4 linked regions of the Caenorhabditis elegans genome follow. The protein of the gene in region 2 purifies or fractionates together with the protein of the main gene of each other region. This does not show direct contact. Each region holds a gene or a part of one and is shown on either strand. Other genes may lie near its edges.

Region 1 (3,739 bases), on a different chromosome or scaffold from region 2:
TTGGTTTTAACTTGATTTTCTGTATGCACTAACTTTGTATTTATATCGTCTCTTCAAACTATTTCTTTAATTTATACGAATCTCAACTTCTCTAAACCTCTATTGATCCTCAAATCTATTTAAATCTTTCGTTAAATCGACAATTAAAAAATTTCCGTCGTCAAGTGTGGTGCCGGTGGTGCATACACCGCCGCGCACAAATGCACAGATTTCGGCGTTTTCGAATTTTTATCGGATTTCTTTTCTCTATATTTTAAAGGATATTTTCTATCGTTTCTTGTCTAAAAACACAGTTTTTATCGAATTTATCACAATATAAACCTATTTATCATCTTTCTTTTGTGAATTTTCACTGAAAAATCAGGTTTTTTTACCTTGAAATTCTAATTTTCACCCGGTTTTATTTAATGGATGTTTGGATTTTCTCAATTCCTATTTATTTTCAGAATGAGCGGCGAAGAAGAGAAGGCAGCGGACTTTTACGTTCGTTACTACGTTGGACACAAGGTAGGTCTTGGAAAATCTTGGAAAAATGACAATTTTCGCCAATTTAAATTAGTTTACGAAACAATTTTCAGGGAAAATTCGGTCACGAATTTCTCGAATTCGAATTCCGTCCAAACGGATCGCTTCGCTACGCGAACAACTCCAACTACAAGAATGACACGATGATCCGCAAAGAGGCGACAGTGTCGGAATCGGTGCTCAGCGAGCTCAAGCGTATCATCGAAGACTCGGAAATCATGCAGGAGGACGATGACAATTGGCCAGAACCAGACAAGATTGGACGCCAGGAGCTGGAAATTCTGTACAAAAACGAGCACATCTCGTTTACGACCGGCAAAATCGGAGCTCTAGCCGATGTGAACAACTCGAAAGATCCGGATGGTCTCCGCTCGTTCTACTATCTCGTTCAGGATCTCAAGTGCCTCGTCTTCTCGCTCATTGGCCTTCACTTCAAGATCAAGCCAATCTAATTTAATTCCTTCAGACTCTGTTCTATTTTATCCACCAAATCTCTTTAACTTGTTTAATTTATTCGATTTTCTCTTCTCTTCTTAAGTTCTCAAATTTCTCAAGAATAAATTTTATTTCTTTCAAAAAGTACAGTTAGAAAAAGTCTGAGAGGTGGGGGAAAAGTTAGAATCAAAATCAATTTCATAGGGGGGGTCAATTCACAGGCCATTTGTAATCCGATCCGTTGGTCCTTAGCAATATCTAGAAATGTATTCCCGAACACGATGATTGAACGATTCGCGATTCTGACTCCACATCTGGGCGGCTTGAATGTTCAGCGCGTCGTTGAAGTCCATAAGATCGTTGAACAGTGAGACGAGTCCGTGGACGACGTCGGTGAGGTTACGCGTTGGACGCCATCCGTATTGATCCAACGAGTTTTGACGCAAAATCGATAGACAAATCGATCCGTCCTCGTTGATATTTGGATGCCAAACCTTTGTCAGGCACTTAACAACGGGCGGCACGTTGTTGTACTCTGGCGGGACGGTGATCTTGAATCGGAATTTGCCTCCACGATAGATTCCTTCTTGAGGTGTCACGGTGAGTTCCAACTCATGAAGACACGATGTTGATGGGACCTCGAGATGCCACAGCTTTTGCTTCTGATCGCGAAGAGCAGTCTCCAGCTGTTGGAGTTCTGAAAATGTTGTAAAATCAAAATTTTTTATAAAGCAGCCACATACCCTGAGCTAGGAGCTTGTCACGGACGGCGATGCGGGTTTCAAGATACCGACCGTCCTCGTTGTTGCCGTTGATTCGTTTTTGAAGATTGAACATTCTGAAAGCGAAAAATTAAGAAATACGATAATTTTCAGCGATATAGGCGGCGCATACGGAAACATAGAGAAAATAATCGTTTTTTTGGCAAAATTACAGTGTAAAAGGGTCAAAAATCGATGAAAATCTTGTAATTCAGCGAAAAAACGACAAATTACGTGAGAAAATGAAACAATTGCTATGAAAAATGACAGAGAATGAGGAATAAAAGACGCAGCGTTTGCTAACGCTGAAATGACTAAAGGGGGCGGAGCGCGAACGCAAGGCTGGCACACTTTTACCGCAAGTGCCGCACGGTTTCCCACGAGTCGGAGGAGGCAAGCGAAAACGATTCGAATCACACATATTTACGCTCCGGCCTAAAATCGTCATGTCTGGATTCTCTGTTTACGGTTAGTTTTGTTAATTGTAAATTATTCAAGTAGAAAACTGGAATATTCAGCTTTAAAAGCAGATTTTAATCGAGAAAAGCCGAATTTAAAGTCTGGCCTAAAATTTTTATTTTTCTCCAGGCGTTTTTCTATTTATTGTATTTGATTAGGCTGAGATAATTTGAGTTTTTAATAATTTTAATGCATTTTTCAGTCGGAAACGCTCCATTCCAAACTACCGAGGACGACCTTGGCAACTACTTCAGCCAGGCTGGAAACGTCAGCAACGTCAGGTAAGCTTCTCTCCCCGAAATCTCCTCTTCCCGAAACCTCCTGAACGACGACCCGTTAACTCTCAATATGAATCTCTATTTTCAGAATCGTTTGCGACCGCGAGACCGGACGTCCACGTGGATTCGCCTTCGTCGAGTTCACCGAGGAGGCCGCTGCCCAGAGAGCCGTCGACCAATTCAACGGAGTCGATTTCAACGGAAGAGCTCTACGCGTCAACTTGGCTCAAAACAGAAACAACTAATTTTCATATCGGTACTTTGTTACTTGTTTGATCTTTAATGATCTCAATAATAATAAACCCATGAAATCGTTATCATAAATATATATGCTCTATTTTTTTATTTCGAATCTTCATTTGGGGTCAATCTGATGGCAAGCGTTGAGGCTAGAAGCTTGAAGGAACGGCTTCGGTTCGAGCAAGTTTTGAATCCTGGGCTATGCGCAGCCCAATGTGAGCTTACAACTGAAAATTCAAGTTTCAACACTCTTCGCGGTCTTATTTTGGACTAATTCCTCATATTTTCAGCTTGAAATGGAAAAAATCTGTCGAAATCGATGCTATTCGAGGGGCGGGGCCAAAACGCAACCCTGGCACGGTTTTTACGCAACTGCCGCACGTTTTCTCCAAGGCAGGGTGAGCGGAAAAATTAAACCGTCATAAATTTTCTGCTACGGCCTAAAATCGTCATGTCTGGAATCTTCTCTGTTTACGGTTAGTTTTTTAATAATTTATTTTAAGTATTAAACAATCGGAAACTGGTTAAAATAGCCAATAAAACTCGATATTGTCCTGAAATTTTGGGATTTTTCGGAAAAATCGAATTCGCGAAGTTTTCCCTAATATTTTCATTTGAAAAGGCAATTTTAAGTGTTTAGATTCAAATTTGGTTGCGAAATATTTAAATCAATTAAAATTTTCCTTTTTTTTAGTTGGAAACGCTCCATTCCAGACCACCGAGGAGGAGCTTGGAAACTTCTTCAGCAGCATCGGACAAATCAACAACGTCAGGTAACTCTCCCAGCCAGCCCGAGCTTCATGATTTCTAACGCAATATCTCTTTCAGAATCGTCTGTGATCGCGAAACCGGACGTCCACGTGGATTCGCCTTCATCGAGTTCGCCGAGGAAGGATCCGCACAGAGAGCCGTCGAGCAGATGAATGGAGCCGAGTTCAATGGAAGACCACTCCGCGTCAACCTCGCCAACAAATAAGTTGATCTTCATATCGGGTTTTTGTTACTTTTTTGCTCTTCACTGATCTCATTATTAATAACAAT
Region 2 (3,675 bases):
GCTTGCCACAATTGTAAATAAATATTAGCGCCTGTAATACTCTTGTAACTGGAAGAAAGTTCATTTAAGAAAATATCAAAAATTAGAACAACTTCTTGAATGGATTTCCTTGTTGCCCGCCGAGTTTGCTCTGAAAATGGAGAGACTACTGGAGCTTTATTAAAAAGGTATTCAACTAACCAAGTTCTCAATCTTCGCCTGAAGCTCGACGATTTTCTTCTGCAAGTTGTCCAAATCACCACGAGACTCCTTCAATTTCTCCAAATTCTCCGACTTTTGCTCATCCGAAACTTCCGGATTGTTGACCTGCTGCTCATACAACTGTTTGGCCGATTCATAACCAGACTTGCTCGATTCATAGATCTTCTTAATGTTCTCCAATCGAAGTTTTTCATTATTAAGAATCTCGGGAAACATTTCTAGGAATCTGACAAGTGAGAATAACCAAAAGAATGTGAAGAGCTGGCAACAATGCCTACATTTTATGCTCGAAATCTGAATATTTGCACAATTTACAGCTTTTCCTCTAACAATTCCATTTTATGTGTTTACTCTTCACGAGTCAACAGAGTTCGAACGGTTGTCTGAAATTCAGGATAGAATGCGCAGAGATTGGAACAAAATGACGGAAATCGACGCTTTCAATCGCTTCTACAATGTTACAGTTCTCTCCAAGCTGTTGAGAACAATTCACGAAGGCTTCCTCGAGTACGACCCATGTAACTGAACAACTATATTCTTTTCGAGCAATTTATTGATGATCAAGATGAAAAAGTGAAGCAATAAACAGGGTTGGATGGGGTGATTGAAAAGAAGAAAAGTTCTCACGGAGAACAAATTTAGAGCTGTCCGCAGTCGGCGATGAGGCACTCGGACTTTGGAGTTCCGGAGCTGCTTCCGTTGCCCTCGACCTTGCTGACGATGTCCAATCCTTCGACGACACGTCCGAAAACGACGTGCTTTCCGTCGAGCCAGGCAGTCTTGACGGTGCAGAGGAAGAATTGAGATCCGTTGGTGTTTGGTCCAGCGTTAGCCTGAAGAAAAACAATGAAACTTATCAGCCAGTGGATAACAGTTAAGAAACTAGATAATGCTTCTTTTCTATCAGTTTATGCTGTCTTTCAATCTGGCTAGGCAACATAACTTACCATGGAAAGGACTCCTGGTCCGGTGTGCTTCTCCTTGAAGTTCTCGTCTGGGAACTTCTCTCCGTAGATGGATTCTCCTCCAGTTCCGTTCCCGCGGGTGAAGTCTCCTCCCTGGATCATGAATTCTGGGATGATACGATGGAACTTGGATCCCTTGAAGTGGAGTGGCTTTCCGGACTTTCCGACTCCCTTCTCACCAGTGCAAAGAGCACGGAAGTTCTCAGCGGTTTTTGGAACAATATCGTTGTAGAGCTGAAAATAAGATTTAATTTCATGAAAAAAGATCAGTGTTTTGTTTACCTCCATAACGATACGTCCGGTTGGTTTTCCGGCGATGGTGATGTCGAAGAAGACTCTTGGGCGGCTCATTTTCAGGTAGGGTAATCACTAAAATGCTTGAGTTATAGTTGAGAAATATGTATGAGATAGGTATATCTACAGAGGTGCGGCAAACACGCTCTGCGGTAATAGAGCGGGAATCAATCAAAGTTAAAAATATAAACAAAGCACCATAAGATACAAGGAAGAAGCACACGGATGAGCTATATACTGAAATGGAGTGAATTAGCGCACTAAAACAGAAAATTTTAGGCCCAACTAAATTAATTTTCCTGTTGGGCCTAAAATCTGCCGAAAGACGTGATTCAACAAGGATTAAACGACAGTTGCACATCAAAAAAGTTCTTAAATAATTTTCAATTGATTTTAATTCATTTTAATAAGCGAAACTATAAAAATTCTGACAAAATCAACAAATTAGGCGACGAAAGAGAGAAGAAATGAGCCGTTCGCTTCTAGAATTTTCCGACGTAAACAACAAAGTCCGCAAAAGTGTCTGCGTACCCGACACCCAATCATACGACATGCGCCATATCTGACGACACTTTCGCTGTGTTTCCCGCCTTTTGTCAACACTTTCACCGTGCGCCTGTGTTTTCAAATGATCGTACACAAAACAACAGAACGGCGCCGAAATTGATAACAATTTTTGTAGGCAATAAAAGATTACATTGAAAAACCGGTCATTGATATCAGTTCGATCATCACCACGGTCTTCACGAAAAGAAGGAGAAATATCGAGATGATTTAACATTGAGAAACATTGAGAACATTTTAAATTGCTAAATAGATCACAAATTAATCCAACAGTTTTTCATTTTGTTGAATGCTTTCGAGATCGATTGAGCTAAATATGAAGCTCTGCATGTGACGGGTATCTGCGAAGCGGTTCGTCAAGATTAGCTTTGCTTATCCGCTAAAAAATAATCTTTTCGTACAAGGACAAAATAAAATCTGCACAAAATACATCGTGATGTGCTAAAAATGGTTAATGTGAAAGTCCTAGAAATAGACCAATAAACTTTATAAATTTTGACTGGTCTCGAAGCCATTTAGTGTACTGTAGGTGAGAGCATTGCTCAGCTTAAATTGTTTGTTTCAAATTCTTCTTCATTGTTCAAATTAAATTTATCACAAGATAAAATGTCTGGAAAAGACAATAAAGGATCAATTCGTTTTGAGATTCAAAATTTTTCTGGCTTGGCGAAGGCGACGGAGCACAAACCAGTGCAAATTGGACACGTAGAATGGTTAGTGAATTTTAATGAAACAAAAAATGTTCTAAATTATTTAAAATATTATCTTTTAAGGATTCTTGGAGCATTCACAAGCACTTCCGACGCTACGAACAATGCTAAACATCTCGGAATTCACCTGAAATGCAACGAGGAACTGCGCAGCAACTTGTGGTCCTGCGATGCGTCAATTCGTTTTTCACTTCTGAGACTCAATTCAAACGAGGATGATGACGCGTTTTCGATGGAGTTTCAGCAAAAGTTCGACGACTTGAACAAGATTGTGGTGGTCAACAATTTTAAAAATTGGGAGGAAGCCATCTGCTACGATAATCGATTTGTGCTCGATAAGCATGCCGTTCTTGAAGTCCAAATTACTGTCAACAAGATTGCCGGAATTCATGAGAGGATTATCGAGACTTTCGATCAACCCAAGGAACATCTTACCGATGTTGTGCTGGTGCTTGAAGGAAAACATGTCCATGTTGGCAAGCAAGTGCTCGCAACGAGCTCGCAATTCTTCCAAAAAATGTTCTATTCGAATTTCGCCGAAAAGACACAGGCTGAGATCAAAATCGATGATGTGACCCACTCTGAGTTTATCGATTTGCTCAATGTGATCTACCCCACTCACATGCTCATTAATAGTAAGTTCTTTTTTTTATTTGAGGCTTGGAATTATTAACGGATTTTCAGGTTCCAACGTGTCTCACTTGCTCAAGCTGAGCGATAGATTCGCGGTGCCAAGAGTTCTGGAAAAGGCTGAAACGTTTTTGATTTTGGACCAAAAGACCCACTTGATCGACAAGCTGAAGTTCGCCGAAGTCTACAGACTCTCAAGGCTTCAAAATGCATGCCTTTCGCAATTGGAGACCAGCGAAGATGTTACTGCGTTGAAGCATCACGAAAATTATAAATCTCTCGATCATATAACCTACAATGCGTTGCTTCAG
Region 3 (6,262 bases), on a different chromosome or scaffold from region 2:
TCCGATTTCTGCCCCCCCAAAATGTTTCGATATTTTCATTAATGAAACGTGAACTTTTTTGTAATTTCAGGCTTAGTATTGTTTTTTCTAAGCCTAAAAATTTGAAATAGTATTAAAATAAACATTCACGTGTGAATTTAAATTGAAATATTGAGTAAAACATATTTTGGGGGGCAAAAATCGGAAAAGTACCTAATTTTCTTCCAAATTTTGAAGTGAAAACATTTTTTTTAACATATGTTGAATACTCAATCTAAAAAATAGGTTATTAACAACAGATAAAAAAGTTAACTTCCTTAAACTTTTCATCCTCGGGAGACTAAATATTTTATCACGAATGATCAGTTTTCTTCTTTCTGCTCTGTTTTGAAAAGTTTGCTGGTAATCTGAAAATGATATTTTTCCCAACTTCTGTCTTGAGCTCAACTTGAGAACGAAAAAGACCAACTTTGTTTTTAAGCCTGAAATAGAAATGTGGAAACACCGAGATAAAGTTGCTACCTACACCCGTTATGATCCTCACAGAAATCTTGTGATCTTTAATTTTCCGGTTGCGTAGGTTTTAAAATCAAGTTTTCAAAACATCTCAGGTCTGCGAACAACAGTTCCTATCACTTCATAATGTACTTTGTTGACAATTCGAGATTATCATTTAATATCATTCGAGCTGTTCGTTCCGCAACCTTTTCGTGCAAATCCATCTCACGATTATTTTAATCCGAAAGTATCGTAAACATCATGCATCATCGAGCAGACAAATTGAAAGCCTTGTTTATTCTCACCAGAGGCAAAAAGAATATAAAACTAGATCATAAAACGGGTCAACTTATTTTAAGATACAACCTATGACATAGATGGTGGTCTACTTAGACCTTTACAAATTTAGAAAACGATATGCTTGTTCTCATAAATTGTTCACTCTGACATCATTTTAAACCCACTGACCTCTTCGCCTACTCAATTATTTTTCAAAACGTTCGCATTTTTTCGCAACCTATGTTTTGAAAAGCTTATAAACAAGTTTGATATCCTTTCTACTTTGATTTTAAATAAGCTTTATTGATTCATATATATTCTTATTTTGATAAAATTGAAAATTAAGAGCATCCACAGCAGCTTTTAACTCCGTTCCAGTAAGCCAAGGTGTTGGCGTTGTGGCATCCACGTGGTCCTCCGTTGTGGTTACGGGACATGATCTGAAATTGAATGGATTGCCATTTGCTTGATTGAAATCTAAGGTCTTTTGTCCTAACTTGAACAAAACAACATACTTCTGAAAATGCTACGTAGTTTTCTGATTGTTAGTCCCACTATTATCAATTGTCAAATACACATGTCCACTCAATGAAATGATGTTAAAAAACTGCTCAAGTGTGACCAAAATGATTAAAAGATAAAGAATCGAGAAAAAATTGTAGTGTTTCTGTCGTCAGAATTTTCCAAAAATTGTCAGGAAGTATATGTACATTTTTTGGTGGAATACTACTTGGATGCTCTAGACATTTCTACGTCAGACCTGTTCAGGTCTGCAATAATTTCTCTATTCCAGAGGGTCGTTTCACCTACCTAGTGACTATGGCATATTAATGTTTTCCCCTGCTACCCAAAATAGAAATGTTCGACATTTAATTTTCAACCTCTTATAGTTAGTTGCGTAGTAGCATTCTTGCTCTAAATAAAAAACTCTGACCCCTTTTTCGCGGAAATTTTTGTATCTTTCCTAAAACTTCGCATCACTTTATGAAATATTTTGTTTCCTTCTGATCAATTCAAAAATCAAAATCGGGGGGCAACCTCCTCCAAACTACCAGACACTCGAAAACTTTAAATTGTATTTCATCTACACAATTTGAAAGTGCCCAGAGCAAAACAACAACTGCGTAGGCGACTCACCTGGCAAGCTCCCATTCCAAGTCCATTGCACTGAGACTTGTAGCGGTTGTAGTAGTTCTGAAATTATTTCAAAATGCTTGTATAACATGTAGATTTTAAAATTTTAGATTTCCTCTTTTGTATATGTGATTTTTGACGTATTCAATAAATTTTGTGAAGAGTGCAAACATTCATTCCGTATTAGAGTTCTTTAACCTCTTTTCAAGCCGTCATAATCTTTCTTTGCTACTTTTTATGGCGTGGTAAGCACGTTGTTAGCGGGGTGTTGATAACAATAAGTACTTATTGTCTTTGATGTCGTTAACGTCGCCACCGCTATAGCCATACATAGAAGCTAACAATGACGTTTTTTGCTGGGCTCGTTTGCTATGTGTGCATTTTTGTTTACAGGTTAATTCTGTGATTTTTGACATTATCTCGCAACTTATTTTGAGCTAGTTCCTTTTTTTCTAGTTCCGCCGTTGAAATTGCAGAAAAGTTACTCATCGCAGTATTGTCTACATGACGTTTAAATTAATTTGCCTCAATTAGCGGCAGATAGTAGAAATTTGAGTTCTCAGGTGGGCGATCCACGTAATTCGTACACTAAATTTAGTCGCGAAGTTTTTAATTTTGAGAATGATATGACGAGATTCCCAAAGGATAGAATTGCTTCCATGACTGAAATAAGCCGCAGTCTATCCGGAATTTTGCGATTTAAGGATGAAAAGTTGCACCCACTCAACACCCGTTTTCCCAAAATAAGAATTTTGATGATTTTTTTTGCATGTATCCTGTTGCTAAATCTGCACGTACCTCGACGCAAGTGGTAGCGCAGTTAAGATCATCAGCACATCTCTTCCAGGCAGCTTCAGTAGTCTCTCCAGCCTTCTTTGTTGGTTGTCCGCAGTCTTCATAGTATCCAATCTTGATCTAAAAGAAACATATTATATTTTTATTCTTTACTTTTTATAGTTGGGTCTTGGTACATTTAAAATTAAAAAAAACTGGAATACATAGAGTAGAGTTCAATTTTTGTATATCCTTGTTGTTGTTCCATACAATTTCCTTGTCTACATGGTTTTGAAAGTTTTCATTTCTAGTATGCCTTTTATCTTCTTAGCTTCAATGCAAAAGTTCCCCTATACAAAAATCAATCCCGTTTTAACATTTTCAAAGCATTTCCTGTCCATTTCCTCGGGAAAGTACGCATTTGCTCTTTTGTGGTTTTTTTGTTTTAGCAATTTAAAACATCGTTTCTTGTTATACATTTTTATCGAAAAAACTCAAAATTAAAATTCAACGCGATTTATTTTACCATACTGATTAGGAACTTCCGATTCGCTTGAGAAGAGATATGTGAAAAATATGGGGGCTGTGGTCCGATGAACCGTTTCAATTATGCTAGATTTTCATTAAAGAAATATCTGTTCAATGAGGCATAACAAACATTTCGTGCCGATTTCAAAAACCATCAATTAATGAAGACATGAAAGATGAGCTTTTGAATTTCACGTATTTTTCTGAAGTGTTATTGTTTCCTTATTTAAATGGCAAAACAATAAACAGGCAACCGAACATCTTGTATGGTTTCATGACAAAATTGAAAACGTGTTCTGATATTCTGCTATTTCCATTTCTAGATTCACATATTCCCTAGTTGATCTTGATTTACCTGATAGTATCCGCAGGAGAGGGATCCAACGTCCATGTGGCAACCGATTGGTTTGCATCCTGACTCTCTCATGCAGATGCAGTGGAGGCAGTCGGCGGAAACGTACGCAATAGCTGAAATACCGTAATCACGAAATAGTTCTATTCGCTGTCTCTGCCTTTTTTTAAAGTTTCAATTTATTTTTATTTTTCTCCTATTTCTTCGATCTATAATTGTTGTTACTTTTCCCTATTGTTTTTTACAAATGTGAAACACATATTTAGCTTTCAAAACGTGCTATTAGCTGTAAACCTATAATCAGATGTCCCGTGAGCCGAGAAATGATTTGAGCTAATATTAAGCGAACTTTCATCCGATAAAATTTTATAAACAAGCAAACAACAACAAGAGTTAACACTAAATATGGGAGTAGTTGAGTCTAGATTAATCTTTGGTTAGCCGATATTAAACTTTAAATGACGTTTCATTCTTTGTTTTTAAAAGAAGATATTACCAGCCTTATGGAAATTAAAAATTTCTCTAGTTTTGTTTTAATTGATTGAACGCATCAGTGTTCAGACTTATCGAAACATTTTCAACTGATAACTAAAAAAAAAAGAAAATGTAAACATTGAAATTAAATTAGCACCTTAAAAATCCAATTTCATGTTGGTTTTGATCTAATTCTTTTGAGCTGGTGATTTACTAGATCTTATACAATTTTGCTGTTCACTGAAACCAGTTTTAATTTTGTTATCACACTCACCGACAGAAAGGAGCAGAAGCGATTTGACAAACATATCGGCTGATGGACAAGCTGTCTGAGTTTGCTAACTTTTGGACTCTCTTTTATATCAACTTACACGTGCCTTTGATCACAATTCCTTATCTCAAAACCCGGTAATTCCTACGTAAGCACCTGTACCGAAGACTGTCAGAGGCGGAGTTACAGCTCTGTGATCGCAGAGCGAAAGAGCAATTGATGCCACTTTCAATGCCAATCAAAGTGTGGCATGGATAGTTCTAGAAAAACGTATATCCTTCCCCAGAAAACCAACACAATGCAACAAATCAGAAATCTTGTGATTATTGAAATGGACTGCAATTTTCCGTGAAAGGATACACCTCTGTTGCTAATCTTATAATCCAATCTTCGGGTCAAAAAGAACGCGGCTTCCTAATATACTTTTGATTGGTGGGGGTGGACGAGGAAATACTCTGAAATAGGATCAAGATTATATTTATTTGTGTCTTTGACCATTTTTTTTGTTATTCAAATTTCAATGAGGTAATATTTAGATTTTCGTATTTATGTGATGATGTTTTTTTCTTATAAAGTTCCATTAAAAATAATATTGAGCTAATTTTTGAACCGACGTTTTTCAGTTCCCCAGATACATCTCGAACCAGCATTCTTTTCACAAAACAAGCGTGTTTTTCTCTTTTAACACAAAGATTATTTGTAAAAACCCTAACTACGATCAGGTAGTAGGTAAATTTTTCTAATGAGTAAGCTTTAGTTTCCGGCTCAACAACTTTGTGCAAGGGTTAAGTCATGTGAAACTGAAAAAAAACTCATTCAAGCTTGATTATTTTCACTAAAATGTTAAAAGGACAATTCAAGTACAAGTAGAATAATCTAAACAAAAACCAAAACAGTAAACAATCAAACATCGAACAATTCAATTTTTATTCATTTTATAATAATGTTTTTGAATACGGACGGTTTTTGTAAATTCAATTGACCGTGAATTCCGTAACGACGGGAGCTTTAGGAAATTTCATTCAATACAAGTATATCACTCACTAATGAGTGAATAGACAGTAAATCCAAGCAGTTACGACGTTCACGCGGATTTACCTTAGTTTACACACTGAATCCTCGTTCCGCATTGCTCTCTTCAGTAGTGCAGTCTGTTTTGTCATAATTCATTCATTATGTGTGACGACGTCATTTGAGAGCCTGAATTGGAATAATCGTGACTAAAAACGCAACAAAACCACTTGGTTGTCGCATCAATTATCCAGTCTAGAACTTTGCCACAAGTTTTTACTTTTCGATCTTCATTGTTACATTTTAGACGCTTTTATGGAGAATTGTTTTCTTTTGTCATGCTCTTCCAGCAAACCAAACTAGGTGCGTATTTCCTTGTCTACAGTTTGTGCTATCAAATAATGAAACACAAACCGTTTTTGTTATAATATGATCTGTAAATAGTGCGATCGGCATGGTTTCGCCTCGTTAAGACTTTTCGGAAACGAATGAACATTATCAGTTGATATCAAAAATTGCTCCGATTCCATCGCAATTTGGTTTTGCTTCATAGACATGGGTGTGCTGGGAGATTGGAAGAAGCGGCAGAGAAAATTGAAATTCAAGACCAATTTCCTTCGTGCAAACCATTCTGATAAGTATGTACCAAGTAGTTTCTAAAAACTCTTCTTTAGTTCCGTAAAAATCATAAAATGTGTGGTAACATGTGACTTTATACATAGACTGTTACATTGGTTATAGTAGGAATGTTCTGAATTGGTCGGACGCTTCACACACTTAAATGAAAATTATCTTGTTTGATTATTCAACACAATAACAAAAAGATAACAAGGGAATGATAATATTTTTATCTAATAAAAACAAACTTACTCCCAGAAGCGCATGTTTTTATATAAAGACAGGAAGGAATCGAAAGCTGAAGACTCAGTTGAGAACAAACTCTATTTAGTATTCTAAGTGAA
Region 4 (6,106 bases), on a different chromosome or scaffold from region 2:
CTGAAAATTTTGTAAATAATAAATGGATAAACTCTAAATTTCCGAAAAACTTTTCTCTCGATAGTTTCAAATTGTTTCGAACTGAATATCCTCACCAATGAGTCAATTCTTCCGAATTTTTGTACAGTTGCATCCACAATTGCTTTGGGCGCCTCATCAGAGCTCAGCTCCACTGCAGTTATCAGAATCTGGAATGAAAATCGATTTTTTAATTGATGTCGCTATTTTTTCCACCTAAAAACGTTCAATCCCCTTTTTTTGCAAAATTTTGCGATTTTTGGTCTCGAAACGACATAATAAAATTCATAGCTACAGTACCTGCAAGTGTTTGTAATTTTTAATGATTTTTAGTATACTTCTTGATATTCGATGAGTTTTAATATTTTTTTTTGTATGTGTCAAGACCATGGCGGCGGTTTTTTTTAATTAAAAAAATAATTTTTTTTGTTTTTTCGACAAAAAAACGGTGTTTCCAAAAATTACAAACGAGGAAAAAAAATCGAAATTTTTTTGTGATAACTGCTATCATGAGAACACAAAATTCTGAGAATGCGTAATGCACAACATAATTGACGCGCAAAATATCAAAACTACAGTAATTCTTTAAATGACTACTGTAGCGCTTGTGTTGATTTACGACACCAGAGTTACAGTAGTAATTTGAAGGATTACTGTAGTTTTCGCTACGAGATATTTTGCGCGTCAAATATGTTGCGCAATACGCAATCTCAGAATTCTGTGTTCCCGTAATACTGTACTTTCCGTCACAGTTCCTAAAATATAAAACTCACATCATCAGCCGAAATTGCACCCTCTGAAATACATAGTGCTGCGACTTCCTTCAAAGAATCCGTATTTCTTCCGGTCAGCGAGAGTTGGTACTTTTTTTTCGCGAACAGAAGAGCCGTGCCTTTTCCGATTCCCGAACTTGCTCCGGTGATGATGGCGACTGGCATTTTCGGATACTCTGAATAAATTCAAAACTGAATCAAAAAAAAATCGATTTTTTTTCAAAAAAAAAAAAAATTAAGCAAGGAAAAAACCACTATAAAGGATTCAATAAAAACACAATTAAAAAAAATACATGTATCTCTCTATTTATTACATGATAAAAGTTCAAAACAATCTCAATATGAGACAAAAAAGCTAATATTTATCTCGGATGCATGATTCCGCGGCCTCCGTCAACACGAAGAAGTTCTCCAGTAGTGAATGAACTTTTCTCAGAGGCGAGGAAATAGATTGCCTCAGCAACTTCATTGGCATCACCGGGACGGCCGAGTGCGTGTGTCGTTTTACTACGTTCCAAGAACTGAAAGAAATGATGATATTTATTTGTCAAGGTCAGTGCAGCAGGTTTTATACCGCAGAATATGTTGTCTCGTCTTGACCAGATGTACGATGCAGGTTGGTCACGGTGACCCCTGGGCTGAAATTTTTGGAGAAATGACAAATTTATATGGGTTTATTAAGGGAACACAATATTTTGAGAATGCGTATTGCGCATCATATGTGACGCGCAAAATATCAAAACTACAGTAATTCTTTAAATGACTACTGTTGCACTTGTGCCGATTTACGGGTTTTTTTATTTATCAAAAGATTATTGAAAATGAGAAAATAATACGAAGAAACGAAGAAAATAAATTAATTTCCAAAATCGAGCCCGTAAATCGACACAAGCAGTACAGTAGTCAGTTAAAGGATTACTGTAGTTTTGATATTTTGCGCGTCAAATATGTTGCGTAAGACGAATTCCCAAAATTTTGTGTTCCCGTAATACGTGTGTTGTTAGCGTTTCATTCGACAAAAAATGAGAAAGTTAGCGATTTTTGCACCAAAATACGGTAACCGGTCTCGAAGCGATCTTTTTTTTTTCAATTCAAAAGTGCGTGCGCCTTTAAAGGAGTACTGTAGTGTACTGTAGTTACTTACTCCTAGTTTTTGCGAGATTTTTAAAGCAATTTTCCATAGTTTAGCTCCTGTCTTTTAAAAAATTCGTTTTTATTCAAAAAATATAAAAATGCATCAAAATTTGAACAAAAACAAGAAAACCTATGAAAATTCGGCAAAAAGTTAGAATTTTCAGGAAATTTTCCTAGTTTTTTTTTGTGATTTCGTTCTTACTCATATTTTCCGATAATTTTTCGATTTTTCGAAAAAAAAAAAGCCAAAAATATTTTCGATTTCAAAAATAAATATTTTTCCGATTTTTCGCAAAATATCTTGAAATTTTGACAATTTTTCTTCTTTTTGGAAGAAATGTATATGTTTTCTTATTTTTCGAATATTTCTTTAAAAAACCTAAAAACCGAAAAAATCGTAATTACAGTACTCCTTAAAGAGAATCGATCGCTTCGAGACCTGGCACCGTAGTTTTTTGGCAAAAATCGCGAGAAAACTCACCAAACAGCATTAACACGAACTCCATTCGGAGCCATTTCGAGAGCCAAACATTTTGTGAATTGATCTACGGCCGACTTGGACATACAGTAATAGGTTACATTTGGGAACTGAAAATTGCGAATTTGAAAATTATTTTCAACAAAAAAATAACATCATACAGGGCACGGTCCATTAATACTGCTGACATTGACAACAGTTCCTTTTGTTGTAATAATATGTGGAAGAGCTGCACGTGTCAGGCGGATCAAACTACGAACATTCACATTCATTAGCTCATCGTAGACTTCAATTCCAGAATCGAGAACTGGTCCGGCACGCAGAATCCCGGCCGAATTGATCTGAAATTTAGAATATTTTAAGGGTTTAATAATTCAAGAATCGGTTGGAGAGTTTTTTTAAATGTTTTCGTTATCCCCATATTTTCTTTTTACAGGTTGGTGCAATTTTTCTCGAAAATAAAAATGAGAAAACTCTTTAGGCAGAAATTTGGAAAATTCGAAAAAAAAAGTATCTAAAAAAGCGCGCAAACTTTTTTCTCAAAAAATTTTAAAAAATAAAAATTCTAAGATCTCTGAATCTTAATGTGAAATGCGACAAAAATAATTTTAATTTTAAAAAAAATAATTAAATTTGGGTGCAAAACTGAGCTACAGTACTCGCATATACTACAGAATTTTTTCAAATTTTCCTTCGATTTTTATATATAAATTTTAATTTTTCAAACAGTTTTTTATCGAAAAGTATAAAATTCGATGAAAATTCCGCAGAAACAAAAGAAAATACAGTACTCTTTAAAGGCGCGCACCTTTTTACAAGTTGCAAAAATTAGTCGTGGTGAGACCAGATACCGTATTTGTAACGCAATAGTAGTCGCAAAACTTCACATTTGGATAATTTTCTGTGCATTTTTTTACAAAATTCGCAATTATTACGTTTTCAAAAAGAATTTTGAACTAAAATTTTTTATAACGGGAACACAAAATCCTGAAAATGCGTAATGCAACACATTTGACGCGCATAATATCTCGTAGCGAAGACTACCGTAATTCTTTAAATGACTACTGTAGCGATTGTGTCGATTTACGGGCTTTATTATCTTGATTATGAGAATCAAGCCCGTAAATCGACACAAGAGCTACAGTAGTCATTAAAAGAATTACTGTAGTTTTCGCTGCGAGATATTTTGCGCGTCAAATATGTTGTGCAGTACGAATTCTCAGAATTTTATTTATTTTTATGTTCCCGTAATAGTTCTAAATTTTATTATAACTTTCCAAAAATAACCCCCCACCAATGTGTCAATTCGTCCAAACTTTTGCACAGTCGCATCCACAATAGTCTTCGGAGCTTCTTCTGAAGCCAACTCAACAGCGGTCACCAGTACATCATTCTTATCACTTCCAGCACTGACAATTTGCCCGGCGAGCTCATTGAGAGCCGCCACATTCCGTCCGGTAAGTGAGAGCTTGTAGTTGTTCCGGGCGAGAAGAAGAGCCGCCGCACGTCCAATACCAGAACTTGCACCTGGAAAAGAGGGGAGAGGAATGGAATTTCAAGTATTTAGAGTCATTATTACCTGTGACAATTGCGACGGGCATGGTTGACCTGCAAAATCAAAATTAAAATTAAAATTGAAAATTGAAAATTGAAAAAAAAATCTTTGAAACAAATAATAAACGGCATCCTAAAAAAACGAGACCCAGAGAAAAATACAAATTTTGTTTTCTCCGCTCCTGATAACACATCACACATCAGGAGTTCAACTTTTCCAAATTTTTTTGCGCGTAAACTGTGGTGCATTAGGTACATGACTCAATGCATCACATTTGACGCGCAAACTTTTTTATTTCAAAATCCATGTCAAACTGTGGGTTACTGTAGTTGATATTTGAAAAAATTGCTATTTTTGTGCCAAAGCTACGGTGCCTGGTCTCGTCGCGATAAATGTATGTTAAATGTAAAAAGATGTGCGCCTTCAAAGAGTACTGTGTCAATGAAAATTCCAAAACGAGAAATTACAGTGCTCTTTAAAGGAGCACACCTTTTCGTATTTAACAAATATTTGTCGTGTCGAGATATGGAGAAAAAAATCGTAAAATTTTGATGCAGAAAAATGCGATTTTTGAAATCGAGGTGCAAGCGCGCTCCACGGTCAAATGGAAAAGCTCCGCCCCCAAACGTTGGGTCTCGTTAGGTATTACCGCTTTTTTGCCGATTTCACCTGTTCTCAAGCATTTTTTCGTGTTTTTTCAAGATTTTTATATCGAAATTATGTTTTTAAAATTGCATTTAAAAGGGAAAACCGTTATTTAATTTGATTTTCCTTAATTTCGACACATAAAACTAGTAAAATCGGCAAAAAACCATAAAAATTCCCGGTTGTCTCGCCAATACCTGACGAGACCCAACGTTTGGGGGCGGATCCTTTTCAGTTGTCCGTGTCAGTCTGGAAACCTATATTGGCTACTATCTCGAAAACCATCACAAAATCGATTTTGCGATGCATATAAGAAATGACCGCAATGAATATACCTATCTTTATTTGTGATGAATTTTCGATTTTGTGCTTCCTGCCCAAGTTATGCACGTTTGTTCGGTGGAGTGCGTTTGCACCCATCTAGCAACTGAACCACCGTGAAAAGCGCATTTTTCTACGTCTCAATAATATTTCCCTTTGTTCAGTCTTTTTTTCCCGTTTCAATTCAAAAACTAATCAATCATGATGAAGGAAGTTTTGTGTGTGGGGCGGGGTGAGCGTTCGTCGCCGAAAAAAAAACAGCAGTAACGATATTTAAGGCTGAGAATTAGGGTTTGAGTACTGATAGATAGGTCAGCGGCGAAATGTTCAAGATCATTGTTCTACTGGCTACGATTCTGATCGTCACTGTCTATGGTGGGTTTTTTGAGATTATTGATTTTTCAACAAAAAAAAATTCGAATAATGTTTAATCACCCAATTCATTAAAAAAAAGAAGTGTAATGGGATTAATGAAAAAATAGGATTTTTTATAAATAGTTTTTAAAATTTGACGAATTTTTCTGCTTTTCGCCAGATTATTTGAAAAGTGAATTTTCGTAAGGGGAGTCAGAATGTCCTATTTGGGTTTTGATCTTCAAAAAATGCGGGAGAAGAGACGCAGACTTCTCATCTTATTTCGCCTGGTTAAGAGCCTACTGACGTCACAATTTTTCCGGAAAAATATTCCCGCATTTTTTGTTTATCAAACCGCAATGAGACAGCCTGACACCACGTGTTTTCAAAAATATCAATTTTGTACAGGGAATTTGTTTATTTCCCCAAAAATTAAATTTTTTTTCGAATTTGCGCGTCAAACATGGTGCACTGTCGTAGTTCACTGACCCAATGCATCAAATTTTACGCGCAAATGCGGCCCTAAATGAATAATTTGAATAATTTCCAGGTGGCTGCCCCGGCATTTCCAGCATCTACCTCCCCCGCCGAGTCAATTGTCCCCTCTGCGATTTCGCTCCATTTTCTCAAGCTGTAACCGGCTCCGGCAATCAATATTCGATAAAATGCCCCGCTGGCTCTGATGTTTGGTACTACAATGAACAGGGACGTGAATTCGTGACCCCAATGAGTAAAGTTGGATCAAAAGGAAGCATCAAGTGTGATGGATCGAAATGGAAGATCAGTGTGCCCGGACAAAGTCAGACACTTTCTGCGTTTGCGTGTGGA

The links.
Region 1: the proteins of cyn-7 (region 2) and ubc-12 fractionate together in Caenorhabditis elegans (co-fractionation; one large-scale study listed by BioGRID). This does not show direct contact.
Region 3: the proteins of cyn-7 (region 2) and ilys-5 fractionate together in Caenorhabditis elegans (co-fractionation; one large-scale study listed by BioGRID). This does not show direct contact.
Region 4: the proteins of cyn-7 (region 2) and Y47G6A.22 fractionate together in Caenorhabditis elegans (co-fractionation; one large-scale study listed by BioGRID). This does not show direct contact.

The regions. Positions count from the first base shown.
Region 1 is NC_003279.8:11,909,385-11,913,123, reverse strand, and holds ubc-12 (NEDD8-conjugating enzyme ubc-12), read right to left. Parts: upstream 1,805-3,739; 5' UTR 1,798-1,804; coding exon 1,704-1,797; intron 1,658-1,703; coding exon 1,209-1,657; 3' UTR 1,071-1,208; downstream 1-1,070. Other genes in the region: mag-1 (Protein mago nashi homolog), read left to right, coding at 448-507, 579-977; rbm-3.2 (RRM domain-containing protein), read left to right, coding at 2,168-2,189, 2,383-2,461, 2,547-2,703; rbm-3.1 (RRM domain-containing protein), read left to right, coding at 3,150-3,174, 3,393-3,471, 3,527-3,674. UniProt on the Caenorhabditis elegans protein: Accepts the ubiquitin-like protein NEDD8 from the uba-3-ula-1 E1 complex and catalyzes its covalent attachment to other proteins. Plays a role in male tail tip morphogenesis.
Region 2 is NC_003283.11:15,185,844-15,189,518, forward strand, and holds cyn-7 (Peptidyl-prolyl cis-trans isomerase 7), read right to left. Parts: upstream 1,536-3,675; 5' UTR 1,518-1,535; coding exon 1,449-1,517; intron 1,401-1,448; coding exon 1,149-1,400; intron 1,035-1,148; coding exon 840-1,034; 3' UTR 739-839; downstream 1-738. Other genes in the region: Y75B12B.3 (Transposase), read right to left, coding at 83-130, 181-417; bath-36 (BTB and MATH domain-containing protein 36), read left to right, coding at 2,631-2,737, 2,798-3,369, 3,419-3,675. UniProt on the Caenorhabditis elegans protein: PPIases accelerate the folding of proteins. It catalyzes the cis-trans isomerization of proline imidic peptide bonds in oligopeptides.
Region 3 is NC_003284.9:6,532,452-6,538,713, forward strand, and holds ilys-5 (lysozyme), read right to left. Parts: upstream 4,390-6,262; 5' UTR 4,327-4,389; coding exon 4,293-4,326; intron 3,661-4,292; coding exon 3,548-3,660; exon of another isoform or gene 2,806-3,547; coding exon 2,689-2,805; intron 1,951-2,688; coding exon 1,894-1,950; intron 1,197-1,893; coding exon 1,098-1,196; 3' UTR 1,039-1,097; downstream 1-1,038.
Region 4 is NC_003279.8:3,558,841-3,564,946, forward strand, and holds Y47G6A.22 (DeHydrogenases, Short chain), read right to left. Parts: upstream 4,012-6,106; 5' UTR 4,005-4,011; coding exon 3,983-4,004; intron 3,931-3,982; coding exon 3,698-3,930; intron 2,745-3,697; coding exon 2,565-2,744; intron 2,514-2,564; coding exon 2,407-2,513; intron 1,430-2,406; coding exon 1,366-1,429; intron 1,313-1,365; coding exon 1,154-1,312; 3' UTR 1,094-1,153; downstream 1-1,093. Other genes in the region: Y47G6A.21 (DeHydrogenases, Short chain), read right to left, coding at 96-188, 792-956; Y47G6A.33 (C6 domain-containing protein), read left to right, coding at 5,248-5,299, 5,829-6,106.